3 linked regions of the Kluyveromyces lactis genome follow. The main gene of each other region encodes a partner of the protein of the gene in region 2 in a complex. Links are inferred from orthologs where the notes say so. Each region holds a gene or a part of one and is shown on either strand. Other genes may lie near its edges. The genes, in order: RRP46, RRP4 and SKI6.

The links.
Region 1: RRP4 (region 2) and RRP46 share a complex: the UniProt entries of both Schizosaccharomyces pombe proteins name them as parts of the RNA exosome complex. The link is inferred for Kluyveromyces lactis from reciprocal best matches to the Schizosaccharomyces pombe genes rrp4 and rrp46.
Region 3: RRP4 (region 2) and SKI6 share a complex: the UniProt entries of both Schizosaccharomyces pombe proteins name them as parts of the RNA exosome complex. The link is inferred for Kluyveromyces lactis from reciprocal best matches to the Schizosaccharomyces pombe genes rrp4 and rrp41.

Annotation. Positions count from the first base shown.
Region 1 is NC_006040.1:1,261,340-1,272,016, reverse strand, and holds RRP46 (exosome non-catalytic core subunit RRP46), read left to right. Parts: upstream 1-4,587; coding exon 4,588-5,265; downstream 5,266-10,677. Other genes in the region: KLLA0_D15081g (uncharacterized protein), read right to left, coding at 1-321; ALE2 (Ale2p), read right to left, coding at 871-1,857; PIS1 (CDP-diacylglycerol--inositol 3-phosphatidyltransferase), read right to left, coding at 2,215-2,892; thiamine transporter TPC1, read right to left, coding at 3,261-4,214; VAS1 (valine--tRNA ligase), read right to left, coding at 5,419-8,694; RNA-binding ribosome biosynthesis protein MRD1, read left to right, coding at 9,521-10,677. UniProt on the Schizosaccharomyces pombe protein: Non-catalytic component of the RNA exosome complex which has 3'->5' exoribonuclease activity and participates in a multitude of cellular RNA processing and degradation events.
Region 2 is NC_006041.1:1,123,713-1,133,321, forward strand, and holds RRP4 (exosome non-catalytic core subunit RRP4), read right to left. Parts: upstream 7,987-9,609; coding exon 6,673-7,986; downstream 1-6,672. Other genes in the region: YOS9 (Yos9p), read right to left, coding at 1-408; EMC10 (Emc10p), read left to right, coding at 681-1,253; hydroxyacyl-thioester dehydratase HTD2, read left to right, coding at 1,861-2,676; IPK1 (inositol pentakisphosphate 2-kinase), read right to left, coding at 2,685-3,485; DYS1 (deoxyhypusine synthase), read left to right, coding at 3,785-4,924; OMS1 (putative RNA methyltransferase), read left to right, coding at 5,235-6,575; TRM5 (tRNA (guanine) methyltransferase), read left to right, coding at 8,015-9,523. UniProt on the Schizosaccharomyces pombe protein: Non-catalytic component of the RNA exosome complex which has 3'->5' exoribonuclease activity and participates in a multitude of cellular RNA processing and degradation events.
Region 3 is NC_006040.1:808,051-816,373, reverse strand, and holds SKI6 (exosome non-catalytic core subunit SKI6), read left to right. Parts: upstream 1-1,863; coding exon 1,864-2,601; downstream 2,602-8,323. Other genes in the region: KLLA0_D09669g (uncharacterized protein), read right to left, coding at 1-31; GPI14 (glycosylphosphatidylinositol-alpha 1,4 mannosyltransferase I), read left to right, coding at 337-1,545; FYV8 (Fyv8p), read right to left, coding at 2,678-5,140; divalent metal ion transporter SMF2, read right to left, coding at 5,504-7,171. UniProt on the Schizosaccharomyces pombe protein: Non-catalytic component of the RNA exosome complex which has 3'->5' exoribonuclease activity and participates in a multitude of cellular RNA processing and degradation events.

The sequences.
Region 1 (10,677 bases), on a different chromosome or scaffold from region 2:
TCCCTCAGCTTTTCCAGCATTGGCACTAGCACCTGCACCCGAGCCCACACCAACATTAGCACCAGCTCTGGCACTGATATTTGCATTACCGGCTCCTGAATTGGCACCAGCACTGGCACTGTTAGCACCAGCTCCTGCCAAGAGAGAATGCTTGGGAGTCGGAACGTTCACGTAATAAGGAGAATGATAGTTGGTCTTGGGTAAGATATCCTCATACTCGGTTTCATCAGCTAAATCCAATAAATAATTCGAATCCGACGAAGCAACTGATGAGTTATCTGCCAGTGATCCAGTATCCGTTTCTTCAATTCGCGGTTCCATCGCTGATAATGACAGATCAAAGCTTGGTTCCTTGTCCCTAAAATAAACCGATTATAAAGTCAACAGCAACAATGCTAAGCGATATTCCGTTGCCACTCGTATCACACTGGTATGTTATGTGCTTCCAGTGAATACTGATTATCTATGTTACTCGACGGTACAGGGAGTTTAAGGAGTGTTATTTGGCTTTCTTTCTTTGTTTTTGTGTTGACATGGTGTGGTGATGTGTGTGATTCAAATTCCAATTATTTCGATTCTATTTATGTACATTCTCTTGATTAAACTCAAAACAGAGTCATGGGCTCAGCCGTGTACGGTCCAAGAATAGCAATTTAGGGCATGAGGAGGCTGCTATAGTGTGCTTCAGGAAATCGTCAGAGTTTATTCAAGAACTTGATTTGGATGTACGTAAGGATATTTAGTTTATCTCTCGGGATTCTGTATCTAAATTCAATAGATTTATAAAAGTTTATAAGGCAGAATGTTACACGGCGGGACGAGCCTCAGAATCTGAGGGTCTATTCGCCGGTCGCTCGCTTTGTATTATCTTCATTTATCTTGGACTTTACCACCTTTCTTGATGATTCTGACAGCAACAGAAAGCATGGTTGATAACCAGAATAAGTTCAAAACGTCAAGGATCAGGTTACCGGTCACAATGATGGCCGTTTCGAGAGGTAAGAAGCTTGGATCGTTTCTGATGTTGTAGAAATCGGTACACAGTTGGTAGAATTGGTAGAAACCCCAGCAGATTCTTGCCAAGAAGAAGATCAAGATCAAAACGACATTGTTCACCAATTGGATCACGTTACACACCTTGGCCATGACAGTCTGACAGTCTTTGGTCAGTTGTGGCAAGTACTTGATCCCGAACCATCTGATATTCAAGAATGGATTGGATAGCTCGAACATCAGGAAAATACCTGCGTAGTAGTTGATGTAAGGTTTTAAACCAATAGCATAAACCACCGTAGAGATCAAACCGTGCAGCACGAATGGGAGGGTAGAGTAGACCAATGAAATGTAGATATCCCATAGGAAGTACCCAATTGCGAAAACGCATACCTTCACGTTATATGGGTCCATGCCAAAGATACGATCGTGAGAGTTTAGATCTGGTTTTTCATTGTTATATGCAATGGCCTCGAAACTGAGATAAAGCACGATCAGAGATTGGATCCAACTCACCAGACGAACGGCACTCTGGTTGACAAGGTCTGCATGCTGCTTTTCCTTAGACTTACGTTGGTCTTTCGTAGTCTCCGGATCCCAGGATAACCTATAAGAAGCTAGAGGTGGGAATAAGACCCGTTGAGATAACAGGAATAGCGCATGATACCCGACGGCAATGTACAACACAGTGTGTAAATTGGATAGAATCACATTCGAAGTAATCCATCCATTGGATTCGAGATATGGGATCACGTACTCGGTCAAATGAGGGTGCGGAGGTAAGGACATCACATAGGTCGTGAACAGATCTATCTGTTCGGAAACAGCTGCTGGAACGACGCTGCTAAACAAAGAACTACTCATCTTTGGTTATTGAACAGGCAACAAAACTCTCAACCTCGAGGGAAACAGTACCACAGCTGCTGGTCTATCCGTAGTAGCACAAAGCCTTTTTTTCTCCTTCTGATCTAGTTCCGTTTGAAGTGGTGAATGTGGATTTACAGTAATTTGTTCCATAAAGCTGCTCGAGAGATGCCATCATAAAATACGAGATGAGACAAAGATGATATATGGTAAAGTACGCAAGCTATGGACCGTACATTCTGGCGTTAGGTGGCATGCACTTTCAGAGTACTAGATTTCTAGTTCATTGATGTATTTATATATATATATATATATATCGGTAAATTCTATTCGGTAGTTATAAATGGGGAGGAACTCTTAGTTCTTCTTTGCACTTCTTCTCTCAGTGGCTTCTGCTGCGTCCTTATTGGCAAGCATCAACGCAGCACGGTTTAGTTGAACGACGTTGGCAATCTGCTTGAATATGTACCCTGGAAGACACACCAGCGCGATGATAGCTCCGATATGGGTGGATCCAAGCAATGGGAAGTAATACGATTTGAACTGAGGGAAGGCGTTGATATATAGACCCATGTAGAACATTTCGTTCAACGCACAAATCGTGAATAGCACCTTACGTCTCGTGTAGTATAAGTTGAGAAGCCATTGTTCCTTTTCGATGGCCTTGTGCGATTGAGACCCTGTGCTTAGCGTTGCGTACATGTGGATATAGTGGCTTGAAATGTCCAAGGCAACTAGTAGTTGGAACACGGGCGACCATACCGGATATGCCACGCATAGGAAACAGATCAATGCTGTGGTGGTGGATCTATCTGTCACCATATCCAGCACAGCACCGAATGAACTGATCTGGCCGTACTTACGTGCCATTGTCCCATCTAGTGCATCTAACAAACAAGACACTCCATACACTACCATCGTCCACAACGGATGCTTGGCCATCAAAACCAACGATAAACACATCGTCACCACACGCACATACCCTATCTGGTTTGGGATGTACCATAGCACATCTCTAGCGGTGACAGCGGACATTTGAAACTATTTCACGAGATTATTCTTGTTAACTCGTCGAGGCTCTTAATTTAAGTAGTTTCCAGAAACAATCTGCACAACTTCGCAATAGTAACACCAAAAATAAGAATTACCACTTGTACTTAGATCCTACGCGTCAATTGCAGCTAGAAGTGGCGCCGTACCGACTGGTTTTGTCGTCTCTTTTTCTCTTTTGCATCAGCCATCGGTAAGTTGCTTTGATTCGTTTGGAAGTTATCATTAAATGATTCTGATATTGATCACGTGACTTATACACAGTAGGATATTCCTCTACATCAACTATATACTGGAGGTAAACACGCTCTCTGTAACATCCTCCGTTGGTATGAGATATATCCACAGTTGTCCTATGGAGATCTCCCCCAGCGCTGTCCGTGATCAAAGAGATCCATTGTGCGTTCATACACGAAAAGACTGATTGCTGTCGTTGGAACAGATTTACATAGTCCCATTGTAAGTCCTCGGTACAACGCTGATACACCCTCCTGTCTTAGTATCTTGTAAATAATTGCAGTGGATGATTTATACCTGTACTCGTGGTAAACAGCAGGGAATTTGGTGAAATGAACTGTTCTCTTAGAGTTCATCACTTGCATTCTGCGACGTAAAGTGTCAATGGGGAACACCATCGTCTTGGATACAAACCCTGCGATGATCCCTGAACTAGCACTTACAGGTCGCGACCAGAATTCTTTCTCGTGGTTTTCACAGACTATATTCACGGTCTCATATGTGAGAAACATGATAGCCGTGGATAAAGTAACCGTTGTCATCGCAGTGGATATTCCAGTGAAAAAACCTCGTACACCTTCATTGAGCCACATTTGTCGGCACTCCTCTGCGACACTGGTCCGATGGCTCGTTCTGTTTGCTATAAGTCTTGTCCGAAGCAAATCTAGCGGGTAAGATACCACTGAACTAGTCATTCCTGCCAACGCTCCGACCGTTAGCGTTTGTCCCTGCTGTGAAAACCGAGGGAACTTCGCAGACCAAACGTTGTTGAACCACGAGTAAGATCCGAATTGTACTGCACCGTAAACAACGTACATCGCCGTCGCCGGGATGTTTCCTTTCCATAACGCTCGAAGTCCTTCTTCTTTCATTATAGTTCTCACAGTAGATGCAATTCCCTTATATTTGTCCTCTTGTACCGGTTGTAACTGATATCGTATTTTTACAGTATCCATTGGTGCAGTTGCCATCCTAGCAAATACCCCAGAAACAGAACCAGCAATCACTGAATTGTACCATGATACCGTTTCACCTTTCCTGAGATGGTCTTTCCTTATGCCAGTGTTCATTCTCTCTTCGTCATTAAATAAATCCCTCTCTCTTGATGGATTGAAGATTCACTGAATGCTGGTCTCTCGCTCCCTTCTCAGAACTTAAATGAAGCCAGACCTACACACAATCTCCTTATTTATAAATTACCACATACATGCCCTGCTAAAAGGGTCTCTGGCACATCAATTGCATTGCATCTCCAACCTCTTAGTTTCATATCTATTCATTGCGTATCCTAAAAGTGAAAAATTTCTGAATTTGAAGCTCATCTCATCTCATCCTGACATAACATTCAAAAGATGGGGAAAGAGGGACTGTAGTGGCTCATTACCGTCTATACCGACTGCGTATTGATTGTTATATTGTACCTATAGTAATTTTCTAGCCAAGATGGAGACTACGACGCATGTTTTGGGCCATGTTGATGGCTCTTCTGTTGTTTCAAACAGCGGAACTAAAGTTATCTGTTCTGTTTCGGGACCCATGGAACCTAAGTCTAGGCAAGAGTTGCCCACACAACTTGCATTAGAGATCATCGTGAAGCCTGCTGAAGGCGTACAGAGTACGAGGGAAAAGTTAATGGAAGATCAGATCCGTTCTGTGTTGACCCCAGTGCTTGCGAGATACTTGCATCCACGTCAATTTGTGCAGATATGTCTCCAAGTATTAGAAGCGGGAGAAAGCAGGGATTATACTGTGAAAGAAGTCAGTGTATGTGTTAACGCAGCGGTGCTCGCATTGGTGGATGCTGGTGTACCGTTACTCAGTATGTGTTCTGGTACTTGTATTGGTATTACCACTGAAGGGAAGCAGCTGGTGGTGAACCCAACAGAATCGCAGCTAGCTAAATGTGAATCGGTCCACGTATACTGTCTAGAGCTGGGCACGAATGAGAACGGGGATATAGATGTCAGGAACCTGCTTCTTCTTGATAGTTTAGGCAGCTTTGACGAGTCACAGTTGTTTAAAGTGTTAGAAACAGGTGAGAAAGAGTGTATACGGTTATACACAGAGTTGAGATCAGTGATCAAGGATAAAGTCGCCAAAGATTTCGTCTGGAGACAGTAGTGGGTATACCTGCACCCATGGTTCTTTATAAATTAACTTTATAATTAACGTTATCATCTTTATATACAATTTATATATATTTGCATTTATATAATTCGCATTAGCAGCGGCAGAGAGAGTAATCTAATCTATTGGACAAATAACAAAACAATTCTACAACTTCAATGCTTCCAAGTTAGCGATGGTAGCTTCCAAGGTTTCGATTTCAGCGGCAGCGTGCTCTGATCTTTCTTTGTTGAATTGCTTCACTTGGTCATTGGCCTTTTGTTCATAATCGCTGCTGTTGACAATCTTATCAATGGCAGATTTAGACTTCAAAGTCTTGTCTAGCTTCTTTTGGACCTTGGAGATTTCTGCATCGATATCGACGTGACCCTTCACAAGCACATGCACGTTAACTTCTGGGTTGACAGATTGTAGCACACAACCTTGTGGGATATCAGCAGCAGATTTCACAACGGAAACTTCATCGATTGCCTTAATCAAAGAGACGATAGAATCTTTTTGAGATTGGACAGTGGAGTAGTATGATTCATTAGCAGATTCAACAAACACCTTACCGTTTTTCAAGATGTTATATTGTGCCAACAAGGAACGAGCATCCTTTGTGACGTTTAAGATTAGCTCGTATTCCTTAGCAGCGCTTGGATTGTGGAATTCTTCCTTGAAAGTTGGGTATGAGCTCTTAACGATAGTTGGAGAAGTTTCGCTGGCGTATCTTGGTAGATGTTGCCACATTTCTTCAGAGATGAAAGGCATGAATGGATGGATCATTTTCAATGCATTGTCGATCAAGATATATAAGGTATCCTTAGCAGACTTTTGTTGAACTTCTGTACCTTCTTGAATCAAGTACTTGGAGTTCTCAATGTAAACATCACAGACCAAATACCAGAATTCATAGATGGCTGAGGTGGAGTTCAAGAAGTCACGCTTTTCAAATGCTTCGTTGACATTCTTGGCAGTTTCAGTCAATTCGTGCAAGATCCATTTTTCAACTAAGGATTCATTGCCAGAAAGAGCTTCAGAAGCTGGTGGTTTATAGTCATCTCCCAATCTCAACAAAGCAAACTTGGTAGCTTGGTAGATCTTGTTACAGAACTTTCTGTAACCTTCAACACGGAGAATATCCAAGTTAATGTCACGACCACCAGTGGTGTATGCACAAAGAGCAAATCTCAAAGCATCAGTACCACATTCTGGGATACCGTGTGGGTAAGATTCCTTTTGACCATTCTTTGCCTTCTCGACTTCTCTTGGATCTAAGTTACCTTGCAACAATTTAGCATGTAGATCCTCTAGCTTGATACCAGAGATAACATCCAATGGGTCAACAACGTTACCCAAGGACTTAGACATCTTACGACCCTGAGCATCACGAACTAAAGAGTGACAGAATACTTCCTTGAATGGAATAGAGCCGGTCAACTTTAGACCTAACAAGATCATTCTGGAAACCCAGAAGAAAAGAATGTCCCAACCAGTTTCCAACATGGAAGCTGGGTAGAATTGGCTCATATCTGGAGTCTTATCTGGCCATCCTAAAGTGGAGAATGGGTATAGACCAGATGAGAACCAGGTGTCCAAAACATCTTCGTCTTGTTCCAAAGTGTACTTCTTATCAGCAAATTTAGTGGCTGCCTTAGCTTCGGCTTCTTCCAAGTTTCTACCTGACACCCAGAATGAGTTATCGTTACGGTCGTTTTCTTCACCTTCAATGTTCACGAAGTAAACAGGACAACGGTGACCCCACCATAGTTGTCTAGAGATACACCAATCTTGAATGTTTTCTAACCAATGGAAATATTCAGATTCCGAAGACTTTGGTGTGATGGTAATTTCACCGTTTCTAACAACTTTGATGGCTTCTTCAGCCATTTGCTTTTGCGAGACCCACCATTGAGGCTTCAATAATGGTTCAATGATATCACCAGATCTCGAACATGTTGGAATAGTCATTTCGTTGTCTTTTTGACCAACGAACAAACCCTTTTCCTTTAACTTTTCGATAACTAACTTTCTAGCGTCGAATCTCCTAGTGCCCTCCCATTCAGGACCACAGTTTTCGTTCAATAGACCATCATCGGTGAAGGTGTTGATAACTTCCAGATTGTGACGAAGACCGGTGTTGTAATCGTTTTGGTCATGTGCAGGGGTGATCTTCACGGCACCAGTACCGAATTCCATATCAACGGCTTCAGCATCGCATACAATTGGCATTTTACGATTCAAGAAAGGATGTTGAACGAAGTGGCCATGTAAGTGCTTGTAACGTTCATCGTCTGGGTGAATAGCGACAGCAGTGTCACCAAACATAGTTTCAGGACGAGTAGTAGCAACAATTAATTTTTCATCGGAACCAACGACTGGATAACTGAAAGAAGTCAAAACACCGAACTCCACCTTTTCATCGTAACCTGGAACAGACAATAGAGTTTTACCTTTAATGTCCTTGTTTTCGACTTCAAGGTTAGAAATAGCAGTGTTCAATTTAACGGACCAGTTAACCAAACGAGCAGCACGGTAGATGATACCTTCTTCATGCAATTTAACGAAGGCTTCCACAACGGCTTTAGAAAGTTTTGGATCCAAAGTGAATGCTTCACGGCTCCAGTCATAAGAAGCACCCAATTTCTTCACTTGGTTCTTGATCTTTTTGTGGTATTCTTCTTTCCATTCCCAGACCTTGTCAACGAACTCTTCTCTACCGTAATCGTGTCTGGTCTTTTTCTCAGAGGCCCAAATCTGTTTCTCAACAACGGATTGAGTAGCAATACCGGCATGATCGAAACCTGGTAAGAACAACACTGTCTTACCCTTCATACGGTAGTATCTACACAAAGAATCTTGAATAGCGATAGTCAAAGCATGACCGATGTGTAAAGAACCAGTAACGTTTGGTGGTGGAGCTGGAATAGTGAACACACCTTCTGGCTTGATCTTACCGTCCTTAGTGAACTCTGGTTCAAAGAATCCAGATTTGTTCCACCATTCGTACCAAGAGGATTCGACATTGGCTGGATTGTAAGCCTTCAAAGCTGGATCATCCAAGGAAACCAAGATCTTCTTTTCACCTGCGACCGTCTTATCCACAAATTCAGGGATTGGCTCCGTTTCCTTCTTCTTCTTTTCCTTCTTGGCTGCATTCTTGGCTTGTCCGGCTTGGTTCTGTGCTTGCTTGGCTTGCTTGGCAGCAAATTTCAATAGTTTCTCAGCCTTCTTCTTCTCCTTCTCAATCTCCTTCGGACTCTTTTGAGTACCATCCTCCTTTAATGGATTGATGATGATCTCGCCAGTCTTCTCATCGACTTGTGGTAAGTCTTGCTTTGGCTCAGTAGACATTTTTCGAATAGTAATGCTCAACGATGACGTGGGCAGCAACTGAGTTCGTAATAAGTTGAATGTACGCGTTGGAAACAACCTCAACATTAAGTTGTAACCAAAATAGTAACGCAACAAACAACTAGGAGATCCGTAACTGCCATCATCCGATCATGTTGTCATTAGTTGATCAAATTCTTAATTTCAGTTCTTGGTTTCAATGTTGGAAAATTTTTTGTCAGTTGGCACTGAGAACTCTGTACAAAGGGGTGAAAATAGAGATAAGGAAGGGGGGGAACCACGGTCAATAATGGACATTTACCAGTGTTATAGTGGTTGGAAGGTACTCTAGTGTTATGAGTCTGTTTTTCAAATGTGTAACTGAGAATATTCTTTTCAAAAGAGCTCTTTTTAGCGCATTTTATGCAGGATAGTCGATTTAGTCATAAGTGTCAGTGACCGACAGTTAATATAAAGCTCGAACAAAGTGATTGAAATGCAGTCAATGGTGATGCTAGGTTAGTTATTGTAGATATTAAGTAGTCTGCTTGCCTTAAATCACGATTTAACATTCGAGCTTTGGACAATGAGTGGTAAATAAGGTCGGATTTAAATTCTGACGTTCGATGTAGATACAGAACGCAAGTCAATACAAGGGCATGAAAAGATCTGGAGGAACAATTTGGGTTGAGTGATGGCGTGGAAAGGGTTTGAGCAGCCCTGGCGATTGTTTAAGCCTTTTTGATGGACGTGTGGCCCTAGTTGTTTATCACGTGACCGTATTTCTTTTTCTAAGGCATCTGGAAAATTTTAGCTCATCTCATCTCATCTCATCACCTCTATAAGACAAGTATTACTGTGTTTGCAGTGGGTGTAGCCATCCAAATCAACCACCTATACCAAGTTCAGCCAGACTTTAACCCAGAAACCAAATATGTCTCGTGTTATTGTGAAAGGTTTGCCGATATATCTCAAAGAGGATCGTCTAAGGGATTTGATTGAGAAGAGGTTAACTCAGAAACATCAAAGTACCGATGTCCAGTCCTACCTCAGTGATGTTAAGTTGATGAAGAACAGGGATGGTGAATCCAGACGATTTGCATTCATTGGGTTTCGTGACGAGGAGGACGCTTTTGATTGTGTGAACTATTTCAATGGAACTTTTGTCGATACCTCCAAGATCGAAGTGTCGATGGCTAAGAGTTTTGCTGATCCTAGGGTACCTCAGCCCATGAGAGAGAAGAGAAGAGAAGCGTTGAAGAGGCTCAGAGAACGTGAGGAGTTGCTTCTTGCGGATAAGAAGGACTCTCAGAAAAAGCAGAAATCAGACTCCAATAATGACGGTGGGAAGAAGCACGATATAGATGCTGAGATAGCCAAGAACAAGCAACTACAAGAGTTCATTAACACGATGAAACCCTCCAGCCAGGTAACATCGTGGGAGACTGTTCAGTCATCCAAGACTCAGGGTGAGGATGAAGAAGCTGCTGATGATGAAGTTGGTGAAATGTCCTCTAATCCGTTGCTTTCGCAAGCCTTGGCTTTGAAGGGTAATTCTCGCGATGCCGATGAGGATACCGACATGTTCAAGTTACCTGGAAATGAAAGTGATGATGAGTATGTTTCTCTCAATGGTGGCTCGAATAATGCTAATACTGATGAACCTGAACCACAAATGATGAGCTTGGATACGTTTGATACTGCTGGTCCTACTTCCACGGACGATATGGCCAAAGATGAAGCGGTATCAGATTTGGACTGGTTGAAAAACCGTAGAGTCAGAATTAAAGATGGTGCGGATACACCAGTATCGAAACAGCAGCAACAACCCGATACAGAACAACAGCAACCTGAGGAAACTGAAGTTGAAACCAGTCAAGAGTCAGAAGAAGAGAAATCATTGAAAAAGATCAGAGAAACGGGCCGTTTGTTCTTGAGAAATATCTTATACACAGCAACTGAAGACGATTTCAGGAAACTTTTCTCTCCGTACGGTGAATTGGAAGAGGTTCACATAGCAGTTGATACCAGAACAGGGCAATCAAAGGGTTTCGCATACGTCTTGTTCAAGAACGCAGACAATGCGGCCAC
Region 2 (9,609 bases):
TTCGCCAAAATAACCTTTTTGCACAACAGTCCTCGTCTCACCAGAGGATATAATATAAGTCCAGTAAGAAATAGGCACTGTATTCATTTCAATAGGGTTTGGAGCCAAGATCGCATTAACCATGTTAACTGCTTCAATGAGAGCTCCTTCAGAATTAAAAGTATCTTCTTCATGATGTTGAATCAACGACGAAGTGTTCCTTTGGTAACACAAAACATCGGACCCTTCGTAGGGGCGGAAAAGCCGTCCTTCTTGGAGCAATGTCTCATTATCTATTACACTTAGGAACTCTTGCTCATCAACGTATTTTAGCGAATAAGGCGTAGAGCTATATGGATTGAATGCTGAGACACCTGAATAAATCCATGAGATAGCAAACACCACCGACGTAACTGGTAAAAATATCATATAAGGCGGCAGATACACTAGCTACAATCAACCTCTGACGAATTGACAACAATGCGCCAACAAATAATAGCTCCGTATATCATTTTTGTACTTTCCACTAAGTAAACTTAAACGTTTGTAATATAAGAATCCAATTAATCGAATTAATCCAATTTTAAACCTTAAACTGAATAAATGTAATAATAAAAAGGATGAATCTCACAGCATAGACTGGTGTTTCCATCATATAACACAGCGGAAAACTGGTTGGATTTATCTTCAAATAATTAGCTATGCTAAAAATGATTCAATTGTTACTAATACTTCTGTTTCACTTGCGTGCGGTAGTGGCATCTCTACAAGGTACTGGTGATCTTTACTTATTGAACAATTTGAATGAAAGGTACAGCCTGGCAACTTTCGAAGCTGGTGATGAGGTAGGTATTAACCTGGCTGTGACAGCCAATCGAATTACAGACGGTGAATATAAAGTTTGTGGGACTTTTCAAGATTATTACGATGAGTGTTTCTCTTTCATCCATATAAAGCAACCATTGTCATACGAACTGGAGCTGGTGGTACTTGATGATAAACTAGTTCGTATGTCGATTCATGCAGATGATAGTATTGATGGCATCGTACCACTGATAAAGGAGGTTGGAAATGGTCCCATACCGGAAAGTATCAAGTTGAAGAAAAGAACTCTGACTTACGAGGCAAAGAAAAAAGCTCAGAGAAAGGATACAGGGACCGCTGCATTTGAAGAAGATGTTGTAGAGAACAAAACGTTTCTTCAGAAAAACTGGAAGTACGTTGTCATAGGGCTACTCGCCTATGTCTTTTTATCCAGTGGATCACAGAAATAATTTCATGTTTTACCATCTTGCTACGTATATATACGTTCAAGAAGACAAAGAAATGACCAGACGACTGACTTTTATTGCTTGGATAGGATAGGAGTGGTTGAAACATTCAATTAACTCTACGAATACGAAATGTATTACAATTAGTGACATGGATTATTTTGATGAGCAATTTGCCTTGAGTTTATTAATTGAGTGCTCGATGGAAAGACTGAAGTGAAAGATTTACCAATGTTGGCTTTTTAAAAGGATCGAAACTAAGCAACTCCATTACTCACTTCTTATCAACAATCGATCATGCTTTTCTCATTTGCACTGTAACACTGTAGTTGCTGTTACGATAATTCACTTTGCACTTGACTTTCCAGTCAATTAGACTGCCAATCAGCTTCACGATATCATGCACAGTAGTGTTTACTACCAACTCGATAGAACTGTATCCCACTTCACATCTTATTTAATTTATTTACCTGTATATCGTCATAAACAAGTAATGAATGAATTTAAAACTGTTGGGCATTCAATCGTAAACCTCACATCAAACAGTATAGAAAAAAAAGGGAATCCTTAAAAGCCAACCATATCCACATAGCTGTTAGTTTTCGCGGCAATGCAGTGGCATATCAGTGATTACATCAATCCGGTGACGGTACAGAGGTATCAGACTTTGGTTACATCTATCTTGCCAAAAGCAAAAGTATCAAACGATATATCGCTTTCAGGTTCACATTTATTGTTCTTCCATCCAGTAACAGCTGCCCTCAGCGAAGACGGATACTACTCGTACCAGACTCCTGGTGCTATATTGAAACGTGAAGTGCCCTTTCGGCGTCGCATGTGGGTTCAGGGATCAATTGAGTTCAAGAAATCACTGACAGATGGCTGGTACAATTGTCAAGAAGAACTTAAATTCATCAAAGAACTGAACAAAGACCATTTCGTAGGGTTGAAGAGAACTATACGAGACGAAAAGGGGTACCTATATGTTAAAGAGTTAAGAACGTTGATATATACTAATCAAAAAGTCTCAGATAAAGTAATAACCAAGTCCGAAGATTACAGTACCCGAGAAATCATCAATTTGGAAGATATCGATGTCATGGTTTACAGTTCGATCAGTTCGAATCCTCATAGAATACATTGGGATAGGGACTATTCGCGCAACGTAGAGGGATACCGTGATGTTATAGTACAGGGCCCGTTTTTGGTTCAATTGGTGATCAACTATTTCGAACAATGTTTTGGAAGACAAGTCTCCAGCATAAAATACAAGAATACGTCTCATGTGTATGCTGGCACAGATCTTGAAATCTGTCACAATGGACTCGGGAAGGATGGTCAAATCAGTATAATATTGAGAGATCCTAAGGATTCACATAAGGTTTACTTTGAGTGTAAGATAGCTTCATGTATACATATAGAGTAAAAGTACAATCATTGGTGGTTGAAATGAGCCTTCTTCTTTCCTGGGAAAGATGCAAGAGCGGATTCAGTACTCTGCCAATGCCGCAGTTTGTTTGCTGGTTTTTGATCAACATCTATTATCGTAGCCTTGACGCTCCTTGTATTGCGGGACCAGGTCAAGAAACAGGTCACATCTCTTAGCGTCATTAGCGTTGACAAATCATCTTTCACAAAACGCTGAGCAGCATAGAGCCTCTGTGTAATACTGTCACTTGATTGGAGATACTGCAGAATGTCATCAAGAAATTCTTCTGGCACTTGGCGTCCTGCAAACAGCGTTTCGATAATCAGCTCCGGATCATGTAAAAAACAGTACTCAATATCTCTTCCCTTCAGCGAGTTATGTGTACAATTCCTACAATAATCACTAGATTGATACAACCACTTTGGCTTGAATTCCCAAGTAATAGCATCATTCAATGAGCATCGATAGATTTGATTGAAATGGTCCAACTGTTCACATGTACTATCCTTGGCATGCAATAAAGGCATGACTATGCATTGCATATGACTATCATCGATTAAGATATTCTCATCTTTCAACACATTAATCCATTTTGTATCGACAAACACCTCTTCTAACCTCATGGAAACAACCACATCGGCCAACATAGGAAGTGACCTGATCTTGGAATCGATAAACTGGAAGTTGTCCTGCACATATGCATTGTTCCTGGAAAGTTTCTGGTGCCTTAAGCTGATACGGTACACTTCACCAGAAAGGAGATAGCAAACATTAGCATTGCCTCTACCAACGAACAATAGAGTCATACCATAGTTTCACACAAAGAACCAAGGCAAACCCAAAAAGTAGGTCATGTGTTTAATCGTGGTGCAGCATCGTTTCTTTGACTTGTCATCTCGTCACCAGATTAGAGATTTATAAAACTAAAAGGCTTTACCTTTTAGGAATTTTTCACTTCTCACCGCATGAACTTTACAACTGTAAGAACAAGACGGTATTAACTCTGATCTATAACCTGATTCACCACATTATACTTAGGCGATTGGAGCTTCATTGTTCAGAAAGAAGTGCTCTACCAACTTACCTACTAACTTACAACGAAAAGATGTCCAACATTGACGGTAAATTACCTGACATCTTAAGCGATGCTGTGTTGAAGCAATCTGTTCCAGTGCCTGATAATTTTGTTAAGGTCGAAGGTATTGATTACAGCAAACCAGAATCACGCAACATGCGTTCTAAGGATTTAATTAAATCGATGGCTACTATGGGCTTCCAGGCGTCTTCTTTGGGAAAAGCCTGCGATATTATCGATGAGATGAGATCCTGGAGAGGTGAACATCGTGACAAGTTGGAAGAACATGACCGCAAGGGTTCTTTTGACAATGATGGGTACCAAAAGACTACTATCTTTATGGGTTACACTTCGAATTTGATTTCTTCTGGCTTGCGTGAGACTTTACGTTTCTTGGTTCAGAATAAGATGGTCGATGCCATTGTTGCAACTGCAGGCGGTGTTGAAGAAGATATCATCAAGTGTTTGGCTGACACTTACCTTGGTGAGTTTTCTTTACCTGGTAAAGGGTTACGTGACCAAGGTATGAACCGTATTGGTAATTTGCTGGTTCCTAACGACAACTATTGTAAGTTTGAAGAATGGATCGTTCCAATCTTGGACAAGATGCTTGAAGAACAAGAAAACTACGTCGAATCTCAGGGTAAAGACTGTTTGGATAGCAACTTCGATCAAGACTCTCCGGTATGGACTCCTTCCAAGTTGATCCGTAGGTTAGGTAAAGAGATCAACGATGAATCCAGTGTTCTATACTGGGCTTATAAGAACGATATCCCAATCTTTTGTCCTGCTGTCACCGATGGTTCCATTGGTGATATGTTGTTTTTCCATACCTTCAAGGCATCTCCTAAACAGTTGAGACTAGATATTGTTTCTGATATTCGTAAGATTAACTCTATGTCTATGGAAGCATCACGGGCAGGTATGATTATCCTTGGTGGTGGGTTAATCAAACATCACATCGCAAACGCATGTTTGATGAGAAACGGTGCAGATTACGCTGTTTATATCAACACGGGTCAAGAATTTGACGGTTCTGATGCTGGTGCAAGACCAGATGAGGCTGTTTCCTGGGGTAAGATTAAAGCAGACGCTAAGTCCGTTAAGGTCTATGCAGATGCCACTGTCGTTTTCCCATTAGTCGTCGCTGCCACTTTTGCTAGCGAATAGAACACTTTATAAAAACAATAGATATCTGTATATATTCATAACCTCGAGTCTGAGCCAACTGCATGAGAATTCATTGTTGTCAGTGGTGTTGGATTGGGTCAACACCACTTGGTTATTAAGACATTCACTCAACCCAATTGTACCACGTGATATTCTAAATTTTTCAAGATCGATTCAACCTCGAAACCGTCTCATCTCGCTCTCTCTTTATCTTGAGTTAACGCAAAAGAACCGACAAAACAGCCTTCCGATATGGTCTTCTGGTCTGTTTTAACAGGGTCTCAAGAATCACCTGTGATCTGTTTCACTAATGTTTGCTGTCAGACGCAATTTCTTGCGGGGGCCATTGAGAGTAACGCAATGTGGGCCAAGCTTAGGTTCGGGATATAAGGTTCTTGATCTTGTACGCTGCAAAAGTACATACATACCTTCTCCAGATTCCGTTTACAAGAAGCCTAAATCAAAGGAGCAGATTGCTAGGGAGAAGCATGAAGCGGATTTGAAATCTGACAACTGGATTATTAGGTACGGGGCCATTGCAAGGTCCGAGAAGTTTTCGAAAGCTTTAACGAAATACATTCTTGCCGCATATGTGGTGTTCATTCTATATGGGTTAAACTATACCAAGAAGCTTTATAAGAAGGACAAGGAGTTAGAAGATATTAGTGCAAAGATTGATATGGGAGTAGCAAATGAATATGAGTTGTTGCGCTATAAGGAACTAAAAAATACGTTAAGAACAAGAGATGTGGAGAAATTGAAACAATACCAAAAGATTATAGAGAAAGATGGGACTGAGAATTTGGATAAGATTACCTTGGAAAACAACGATCAAAACAAGATTAACGAGAAAATTCTACCTGCTAGGGATACCACTGATTTCTATGAAATGAAGGCAGAAGAGTACGATGAGGGTGTGAGTTTTGAAGAAATGATGATCAGAATGGGTAAAAGACGTAAGTGGCTCATGAAACATTGTAAAGGAGATGTTCTCGAAGTCGCTTGTGGTACTGGTAGGAATATCAAATATTTAGACCCAACGAAGATCAACTCAATCACATTCTTGGATGCATCGGAAAAGATGATGGAAATCACAAATAAAAAATTCAGAGAAGCACTACCCAATTTCAAGAAATGTGCATTTGTTGTAGGGAAAGCGGAAGATTTGATCGACTTGAACTCGAAGGAGACACCTGTTAAGTATGATACTATTGTTGAAGCGTTTGGTCTTTGTTCACATCACGATCCTGTAAAATCTTTGAAGAATTTTGCTGAATTGTTGAAACCTGGCGGTAGAATCATTCTCTTGGAACACGGAAGAGGTTCATACGATACAATCAACAAAATTCTTGACGATAGAGCTGAGAAACGTTTAAAGACATGGGGTTGTAGATGGAACTTGGATATCGGAGAAATCCTTGACGATTCTGGATTGGATGTCGTCGAAGAAAGAAGAACACATTTCGGTACGACATGGTGTATTGTTGCCAAGCGTAAAGGTGACGGTAAGAAGAAAGAAGAAATTGGCTTCTTTGAAAAGTATCTTGGTGCTAGTGTTAAGAGCAGAATTGAATCTTTCACAAACGATGGAAAGAAGCAAGACTCGCTACAAGCTACCCATAATAAACCAACATCTGAGACATCCAAATGATGGTACTCTTATCGAAAAGATTTTATTATTTGTAAATATTATGCACTTTATTTATAAAATACTACTTCATGTAAATATTAATATTACCGATTACAACCTATGCTGCTCCCCTCATCTTCTCTGAGTTGATGACGTCTTGACCTAAGGACTCCATCGTCTCCGATTCAATTAACTGTCCCAAGTTACCATAAGCCATTGAAGCCTCATATGCGGATATTATTCTTGGCTCAGTGATACCGAGTTCGCAATGTGCTAACGCCTTAATTACGTTTGCATATCTTGTGATTGTTTGCCTAACGCTTACAGTAACAGTATCATTTTTATCCGAATATATTTCCCAAGAACTCTCTTCTTCCAATCTTGTAATGGAAACCGACATTGCATTGTTGGATCCTGGTAAATGGTCAGATTGTCCTGAACCTGTAGTAGTGGTCTTACCGGAAAGATCCATCTTGGAGGATTTCCTTATCCATACGAACCCATTTACACCCAAGATAATGGTGACATTCCCTGGAAGATTATGTGTATGATTTTTAGATCTCACTATTAGGGAACTTGGGACTTGAACAAACGTACCATTCCTTAGTTTCCCATATTTCAACGATCTGGTATGTAATGAAGCTGAACCGTCTTGGAACAACGATTGGACTTCAGCGTTTAGTAGATCACCTTCTTTCAAGAAGTTTCTCATTTGCAACTCATCTGTCTCTGACTTACGTCTCAATACACCACCTGGTAAATTAACAGAACCCAACATCAAAACCGCATACTGTTTGGCTCCAATATCCACTTTCCACCTTCTATTACCAACATCAGTGATTCTACCCACGATGTGGTCACCTGTTTCGGGAATATAACGAGATTTTAATGGTAAAACGGATAGCAATCTATTCACTCTCGATACTGTGCCAACCACAGAACTGTATGTCTTGTTTTCCAAGAAATAAGTACCATGACCCTTCATCCATATAGGATCATCGGTTATTAATTCACCAGGTGTGACAATAGACCCATCCTGATGGTCTATTCCACCATTGGAATCGTGAGCACCGCTCATCTCAATGTCATGTTCTTGCTCTGAACCTGAGCTGGAATCTGATTCATATTCATCCTGTTCTAAACGGCCATTAGACCAAAATTCGTTCCTATTGATAACACTAATAACATCACTCATTGTTCCAAGTAATGATATAACGATGTCAGGGACTGCAGAAGGCGTTCGATGTGCTGACTTCCTCGCTGTACCTTTGTTACTTTTGGTGTTAGTTAACTGAAAATTTTCCAAATTAAATAAGAGAGCGATGAGATGAGATGAGATGAGCGTTGTAAAAGATGTAAAAATGTTGCAGCAAAGATCGACCGTCAGGCAGCGTTTTATTTGGTGAAGTGATAGCACACTATTTTGCTCCATTTTTCAAGGATAGAGGAGGACTAGTTTTATGAGGTTTGGCCTAGTGCTTCGAAGAACAATGAGTAGAGCTATTGAAACTACGTTCAAATATGAACCACCAGTGCATCGTGGCATGAAACAATTAGATAAATCATTATTCGTAAAGAAGCTTCCTGTTGTTGTATTGCTATTGAAGAATCCAAAGAATATTTCTGTCTTCACCAAGAAGTTCAAGGACGATATATTAAGGACACCAAGAATTCCATTCGTTATAAGACTTGGCGAAACACCAAAAGAAGATACTGATAAGAACGATGTCGAGCCAGTACAGAAGAAAAGCAAATCCCTGGCCAATGACAACCATATAACCAAAGGTATCATACTAAAAGACAGTATACAAGATGTTTCGCAGGCGAGAGGGAAGTTGACCTCCAATGCACTAGAATTTCTTGATGAGCAAGAGTATGAGTTGAGAAACCATGAGTATGTGCTAGATTATGACTTCTGGAAAGTGGAAGAGATTCTAAATGCAATTTTACCAGAGGAGTACCTTGCTGAGATTCCTACTGGGTTCACTATTGTGGGACACGTAGCTCATTTGAATTTAAGGAAAGAGTTCAAACCGTTTGGTGAAATAATTGGACAAGTCATCTTGGACAAGAATTCGACGATCAAGACCGTGGTCGATAAAGTGGATTCCATTGCTACCAAATTCAGAACTTTCGAAATGAACGTCCTAGCGGGTGAACCGAACCTGCTAGTGACTCAAAGGGAATCTGATTGTTCATTCACTTTCGATTTCAGTAAAGTGTACTGGAACTCAAGACTACATACAGAACATGCAAGGTTAGTGAGTCTATTCAAACCGGGCCAAATAGTTGGTGATGTGTTTGCTGGGGTGGGGCCATTCTCAGTTCCAGCAGGAAAGAAGAAGGTCATCGTTCTAAGTAACGATTTGAACCCAGAATCTTACAAGTACATGCAGCAAAATATCATCGACAATAAGGTGGGTAACTTCGTTGAACCATTGAACCTCGATGGCCGCGAATTCATCAGAGATAGTCCCAAGCTACTACAACAATTCATCGAAAGGGTACAGGGAGTCATCACGGTGCCAGGAGGTAAGAAGTACAAGGATAAAGTCACGGGAGAAACTAAACGTACTCCTGAAACCAAGATCCCAATCAAAAACCAGTTCTTCGATCACTACGTGATGAACTTACCTGACAGTGCTCTTCAATTCCTTGATGAATTCGTCGGATTATATTCAAGGTACGGGTTCACATACGAACAGATGGTTCAAGAACACGGCGAACAGTTCCAAACCCCATGGATCCATTGTCATTGTTTCCATAAATACGATGCGGAAGAACAACCAGAACCATCCATGGAACAACTACACGAAAGGGTCTACCAACAAATACTACAAATAATGAAGACCACTGAGCAAGAGCTTCCGTTCAACCAGTTCCAGTTCCACTTAGTGAGAAAAGTCGCTCCAACGAAACCAATGTTCTGTGTTAGTTTCCAACTACCACAGTCACTAGCCTTTATCTAACTATCTTGATACATAATTGCAATGTAAATAGAATGCAACATACCAGTGACTCTCATGATTGCAGAAAACAGTCACCAAAACAAGTC
Region 3 (8,323 bases), on a different chromosome or scaffold from region 2:
AGAGCTCGGTGGCTTCCTCCTTATTCTCCATGATTTAATTAAAATAGTTCCACTTTGGTGGATCCTAGTGAAAAGTAGGCAAAACTTTCAAACCAACTGCGCTCCTTGACGATTTAGGTGTTCTCTTCATCGGTTTCCCATCTTACTTATAATCATCTTTGATTCTCCGAGAAACCTTTAAGTGACTTTATATTTAAATTGTACTTTTTCAACATAATGCCATGATTTTGGCATTACATACCAACCTTGGGGAACCACATTTCGAACAATAAAATCATATCTGAAGATCATAACGACTGCTTGCTTGCTTGAAGCCCGCCATTTTACTAACAGGAAATGCATAGAAAAGTAATCTTATTATTAACAGTCTCTTTACTACTTCGAATTGGATTCTTTTCTTACGGTATTTTCCAAGACTCGCATTTTGACGTTAAATATACTGATATCGATTACTTTGTCTTTCATGATGCAGCTGGTTACGTTAACAATGGACAATCCCCTTATTTGCGTGATACATACAGGTACACACCTTTATTGAGCTTCTTGTTACTACCCAATTATTATCTAAAGTGGATTCATATGGGGAAAGTCTTCTTTGTTTTATTTGATCTCATTACAGGTGTGATGATCATAAAACTATTACAAGGTTCATGTCAATTGACAAAACAGCTAATTCTAGCTTCTATTTGGTTATTGAACCCGATTGTTATAACGATAAGTACTCGAGGAAACGCTGAATCGGTTTTATGTTTTTTGATCATATGTGCTTTATACTTTTTGAAAAGAGACAGGTTACTTATTTCAGGACTTTTCTATGGGTTATCGATTCATTTCAAGATCTATCCGATAATCTATGCGCTACCGATCGGAATATATCTCTTGTTGTCGAGTCACAATAGAAACTGCATTTGGCGATTGTTCATGATAGGGATATCGACGCTAATCGGCATAACTGCGCCGACGTATTTCATGTACAAGCTTTACGGGAGCGAATTTATCGAACACTCGTACATGTACCATCTCACGAGAACAGACCACAGACACAATTTTTCGATTTGGAACCTGGTCTTACTCTTAGAATCTGCTGGTATTCATCTTTCCCAATCTATCGAACTATCTAAGCTGGCATTCGTTCCTCAATTGACACTATGTGCAGTACTACCTTATCTATTGTGGAAATCACAGACGTTCGAAAATTTAATGAATGTCCTATTCGTACAAACATACGCATTCGTTACTTTCAATAAAGTATGCACTTCTCAATATTTCATTTGGTATTTGGTATTATCCCCATTTTATTTCGCAAATACAACCATTACATGGAGAAAAGGTGTGGTCTGTATATTTTTATGGATATTGTCTCAAGCCGTATGGCTTTCACAAGCATATCTACTTGAATTCAAAGGCCAAAATGTATTTTTCCCCAACTTATTCTTTGGCAATATAGTGTTTTTCCTCATCAACGTCTATCTACTCGGTGTCTTTATCACTGACATCAAATCCAGAACGTCATTCCAAGACAATCAACATAAGAAGAATATATAATTTTAACTTAGCATATACTGTAGCGTACTGTGACATTTTCAAAGCCACGATCGAAGTCCTGACGAGTATTTTGATGTTCCATTCCGTTCATCCAATTTCATATCCGTTGTCAGATTCACTCGCTGCTGTTTTCTTCATACTGATTATTGAAATAGAATTTGAAAAAAAAAAAGTATTCAAGTTTTGAATCTTACAAGTGAAATATGAGCTCATCGACATCTACTAGAAGAAGTACATTCAAAGCAGAGGCTGTCAGATTGAAATTAGCCCCTCCAGCTAGCGTGTAGGAAAACCCACTTTAACTAACAGAGTAACATAATGTCACGTTTTGAAATATATTCTCCAGAGGGATTGCGTGTCGATGGTCGTCGTTGGAATGAGCTAAGAAGTTTCAACTGTTCCATCAACACTCACCCGAATGCTGCAGATGGATCCTCGTACTTGGAACAAGGTAACAATAAGATTATCACATTAGTTGCTGGTCCTCAAGAACCATCCTCGAGGTCACAAGTCAATACGAAACAAGCTACTTTATCCGTTACTATTAACTTAACGAAGTTTGCCAAGATGGAAAGAAGCAAATCAAGCCATAAGAATGAAAGAAGAACCTTAGAATGGCAAGCTTCGTTAGTGCGTACATTTGAAAAGAACTTGATGCTTCATCTCTATCCTCGTACGTCAATTGACGTTCAAGTTCATGCTCTACAGTTAGATGGTGGGATTCTTGGGGCAATGCTTAATGGAATAACATTGGCTCTGATAGATGCTGGTATCGCAATGTATGATTTTGTAAGCGGGGTTTCAGTGGGACTTTATGATACTACACCACTACTAGACCTTAACTCGCTTGAGGAAAATGCAATGAGCAGTGTTACCATAGGCACAATTGGTAAATCAGAAAAATTATCTTTATTAATGGTGGAAGATAAAGTGCCTTTGGATAGACTTGAGAGTGTCATGGCCATCGGAATAGCAGGCACTCACAGAATTAGAGATTTAATGGATAAGGAGCTTAGAAAGCATGGAAAAACAAGAGTTGAAAACTCTTCGAATTGATTTTTAAACCATTAATTATAAACTTCACATAACATGTAAACATAAATGCATTCTACAATTCGGATCTTGCCTTTAACTACAATTTTTTACCTATAGATGAGAATAACCCCTTAGATTTTTCTCTCATGCTGCTAGAAAACATCTTCTTCTTCAAATGTGTAACATTTTGGTTCACCGTATTTGCGACGCTGTTCTTTTTACTCAAAATATCCGCTTGAGCATAAGCATCTTGAACATGTTTATTGACTTTGTAGTCTTTGAAGATAAAATCCTTATCAGATGTGGTAGAAGACTTCAAAGCATATTGGATCCAGCTCTGGAGTCCGGAGTCATATTCTTTTAATTGTTCCTTGTAATTGTTTAATTTTTTTAGTTTTTGGGAGTGAAGCTCATTACTGCTTAAAAGCTTGACCAAGTCTAGATTCGGGACAGTTGACTGGTGAACCACTGATGGAATTTCATCTCCTTCAGAACTGAATGCTTCTTTTAATTTTGATTCACCTTTTGGAGCTTCACCGTTCACGTGTTTGAATATAGTATCGTTACTAGAAACGTAGTCAGTAGATTCATTGGTAATTTGTATGTTCGTAGGGAGAGCCGGAGCAGATGCATTATTGGCAATCAGAGCAGGAACGTTATATATGGTTTGATTGTCATAAATTGTTTTAGTGTCAGCAATCGTCTTGAGGTCGTCATCATCTGATGCAACGTCATGTGGAAAAGCATTAAATTGACTTTCTCCGTCTGATGCTACCGATGAATTGCGTTGAATATTGGATGTTGTGTTTTTGTTCACTTCAACAATTTCCCCGTCCTCATTTACGGTGTATCCTTCGGGAGGATTGTTGATATCGATGGTCTCAGTAACAAAACCAGATCGGAATGCATCGGTGTCTGGTTTCCACTTGCCTAGATTGATTGACTCCCTGGTTGAGAATGCTAATTTCTGTGGGCCGTCTTCCTCGTCTTCAGAGCTGTCAGAATATCCTCCGACGTCATTTTCAGAATTCTGATCTGGAACGTCCGATTGGGTTATAGAGGATTGACTCAATCGTTTCGTTACGCTCTCCGTTATCGAATTAACATCGCTATCAGCTGTCAGTCCATCTGTATCGTTGTTATTCAATGTATGCCTATCTGAATCGTCGATTTCCTTGTCCTCATCAACCATCGCAGCGAAATAGCCACTTTTAGTGACTTCTAAATCTCCATCCTCATCAGTATAATCTATGTCATCATCGCTTGAATCGAGAACAGAGTTCCTGACAGGGTTTCTGAATTTAAAAGATTCTGCAGAATGAACAACATACTGTCCCAGGCTAACTTCGGAAATAGCACGTTCCTTCTCTTCGCCAGAAGACTCTGATGAATACCCGTCGTGATATGACAGGTCTGTTTTGGATGTTTTACGAAGCTTTACAGGCGACGCATTGTCTTTCATCAAACTTGGTTCTGAACCATAACCATTTAGCAGTGAATCAGAATCATTGCTGTCTCCTTCTTTTGAGTGTTGAATAGACAACTGGGATTCTGACGGAAGACTATTAATAGAACTTGGAGGCATCTCTTCTTTATCTTGACTTCCAATTGATTCTGGATGACTGTCTGATTTGGACCAGTTATCTTCATCTACCGCGTCTTTACTGCCTTTGTCATCTGAAATTGCAACATCACCCTGTATTCTAGAAGGAATTTCAGTTGTTGGGTCAATCATTTCGTCTTGCAACTCCACTGATATTTGGCTAGTTTCTACTTCAGAAGCAGCATTCTTGAAAAGTTCTACTTCGGTATCATCTCCTTTAAGGGGTTCTTCCTCTGCACTGACTATCTTGAAAGGTTCCACTTCAACATCAGCTCTTTTAACCGACTCTGCTTCAGAATCATCTCCCTTAAAGGATTCTTCCCCAACATTCACAATCTGGACAGGTTCAACTTCAACCTTAGCTCTCTTAACTGATTCTGCTACAGACTCAACTTCACTAACCGATTCTGCTTTCGCATTATCTGTTTTGTTAATCTCCGTAGCAGATTCAGCTAGCTTGGCCGATTCTATATCACTTTTAACAGATTCTCTGTCATCCGTATCTTCATCGTTTACGTATGCGGCAAAATAGCCAGTCTTCGATACCTTCAATTCTGCATCATCTTCATCCTCTGGATCACTGGTATTGTTAACGTCCTCATCTTTTGCAGTCATCTCTTGAGATATTTGATGCATTAGAGAATCTAGATCATCATTGACAGATTTATTTCCTGATCTTACAGATGTATTCAGAGAGTCAGATCTTAGGCAGGTGCCAATTGATGGATCAGGTGAGCTAGATTTTGCAATGTTGTTAGATTCAGGAATATTTACCTGTGGTAGTTGCGGAATATTATTCGTTAGGCCCTCATCCTCAGAATTAGATGAATAGGCATCCCAATCAGCACCGTCATAGTTTGCCTTTGACGCGCTAACCCATCTCTGGGACTTATGCCTAGTAATGTTATCACTCATTTTCGCGTTATCCTGATAGTGTTGCCTTGCTATGTCGTCCATAAAAGAATCCTCTTGATGTCCTTAACTTTCATTAAAGTGGCTTAAACTTAATCCCAAGGTTTTTGTTTATTATTTAATTTACTTTTCTTAAAAGAATGATCTAAATTGACACGAAGATCACAAGAAATTTACCTTGAAACGCAGATTTGAAAAATAAATGTGTCAGAGACAGGTCAAATCTTTTAAAGTAAGGTACCATGATGGATGATGTATATTAAAACAAATATGGTAAGCTTCCTCGATGAAAATACTGGTGGAGTAATGTTGCCAGTAATAATACGTACAGTATGTGAAATTTGACTAATATTCTATGCATTTATATATATATATCTTTTAATTTTTAGTATGAAAGAAATAATCACTCTACAAATGGACGTCCTGACCGTTAGCAAAAGATATTAGTAAATAGAAATTCAAACCGGAGATGAAGATCCATACAATGACAGCAACAACCGTAGTGAAAATGCTGTTACTGAAATCTTTGTAATGAACAGACTCATCTGATAGAGGTTCAGGGGAATTAATTAGATGAGCGTCCACCTCATCATCAGTATCATGAGCAATAACGGTAGCATCATCTGTGGCTAAGTTACTGGAAGACAAATTCTGTAATGCAAATAAGTTTGACGGTTCTTGAGAACAATCTATAGCCCAAGGAACTCTCATAATGTTTTTATTACTAGTGAAGTAAATCAATGGAGCACTCACAAATGGTAATAGTAACGAGAGAACCACCTGTGAGGCATTGAGAGCCCCTGATAAACCGTTTCTACCGGCCACCAATACTAAAATCAAACATGGTGTTATAGCAACAACACGCGTCAATGCACGCCTTAATGCTGGAGCAACAGTCCAATTTAAGAATCCTTCCGAGACCATTTGTCCACTTAGAGTACACACAATACCTGCAGATTGCCCAGAGAATAGTAAGGCCAAGACAAAAATTGTACCAGCAGTCTTTGAAAGAGTTTCTGATAATAGATTATAGATGGAGAAAAGATCTGCTTCGTGCGCATTGTTTGAAGTTACCCCGTATAGAGTGGCACCAGCTACAATTAGGATCGAACAGTTAACAAATAGGGCAACAGTAAATAATGAAACCAATAATTCAGCCATTGTGTAATTTAATGTGTCGTGGATTGCATCGATAGAAGGTTTGTAATTATCATGGTTATTATCTTCATCATTTTGTGATGGAATGTAATGTCCCTGTTTGATGTCGTAATCCCTTAATCTTGGTTGAACAACACCTGATCCGAGGTATAAGCTATGGGGCATAACTGTAGCTCCAAGAATTGCCAAACTTAGATACAAACCATCACTCTCGAAAACAGCTTTTGACGGTAGGAATCCCTTAAACACTTCACCTACAGAGTCGATGTGGACGGAGAATAACTCGATTGCGAAACAAACCACTGTTGCAAACACGAGTAACGAAACAAAGGCTTCGAACCACCGTACAAGTTTCAAGGATCCATTAGGCTTGTATGCCAATAACACAACCAAGACATCCACTACTGTTAAAATGACACCTAGTGGCAACGGGATCTTGAAAAGGATGTTCAAGGAGATTGCTGTACCAACCACTTCCGCAAGATCAGTAGCAATAATCGCCACTTCAGCTAGCACGTATAGAACCAAATTGAGGGTCGGAGGTAAATGTTTTTTACAATTTTGAGCCAAATCTAATCCGGTGACGGCACCTAACTTAGCACATAAGCATTGCCAAAATGCTGCTAGAATATTGGTGACCAGAACAGAGAATAAAAGTTTATATCTGTGCGCAGAACCTGCTGCCACAGCGGTACTGAAATTCCCCGGGTCCATGTATGAAACGGAAACCATTAATCCGGGACCCACAAACCTGGCATACTTCTTCAATATACGAACGCAGTTTTGGAATGTTTTAACGTAAGTCGGAGTATCAGTATCTCCTTCATGAACGAACGCATTATATTGCTGGTCATTGGTGTTCCATGCAGAAGACCCATCACTACCTGCAACCTTTTTAAACTGAAGAGAAGAAGACATGCGGGGTTATACTTGGGTAATATATTTTTTTTTTTTTGATTGTATTTATCAGAAGACAGTACACGTTCAGCGAAGTAGGTCCAGATGGTGAGTATATCACTTTCTTATATTTTGATAATGGTGCGGGGAACAAAAAAGAATGGATTGAAGACCTGTACTTGGAATGTGTCCGTCACACTAGCACAGCAGTTTTGAAATCGGTAGTGAACTCAAAAAGATGGTTAAGCAATAAAGTGCAATTAACTGTTTTCAGAAAAGCCAAACTAGACACACTTGAACTTTTCAGTAGGTTTCAATGAAAAGACTAGGCAAAGAAACTGAATAGGTGCAACTAATAAAAAATCGAGCCAGAAAACCAGGTTTCTTTGAACACACCAACACACCCTTATTGATAATAGTATGATGAAAACAGAATGGTCTAGATCGAAAATATCAGCTTCAAATTAATGGAATGCTAGTGGTATAAAAGGATTGCAAATCTCACACATCATGTTGAGTATTAAATATTGATGAAGTGAACAATTGAAACTGTAAGCATAATTTTTATATATATTTTCCAAGTACCTCTTTAATCCCAAAGAAAAAAAAAAGACAGTTAAAATTTCAGATCATTTAAGCCTGTATGAAAAATGAATTGCGAGATAAAGGTGAAAGTGACTGCATAGTTTTCATGCCGGGTTTGAAAAATTCAGCCAAGACGAATCATGTGAACGTTGCTGGTATCCTTGTTATCATACGTCCTCCACAGTACCCAATTCAGAGCAGCTATCGGTATACACATATAGACTTGTTTATATTTCGACATCAGGCACCGTGGCCGAGGCTAAATGTAAGGGTAACGGGTCCCGGAGCATTATGTCAAGACACATAACTTCAAGGTTTCCATATCACGTGCGGTAAAATAAGCCATATGAAATATATGTTACCCGTCCTAAGACCTTTTGTCCAAATAGAACGTCATGGAAGCATTTTCACTCAGTTTTCCAAGGACAGTAATGTATGCGCCAGCTCGATAATACATCATTATATTCTTTCCAAAACCCTATGCTCGTCCAATCTTGACACTGTGTGATCTACATTTGATGATCCCAAAATATCATGCCAACTGCATGGATAAACGTGACGTTAGTGCAGGTACTCAGGGACTGAAGG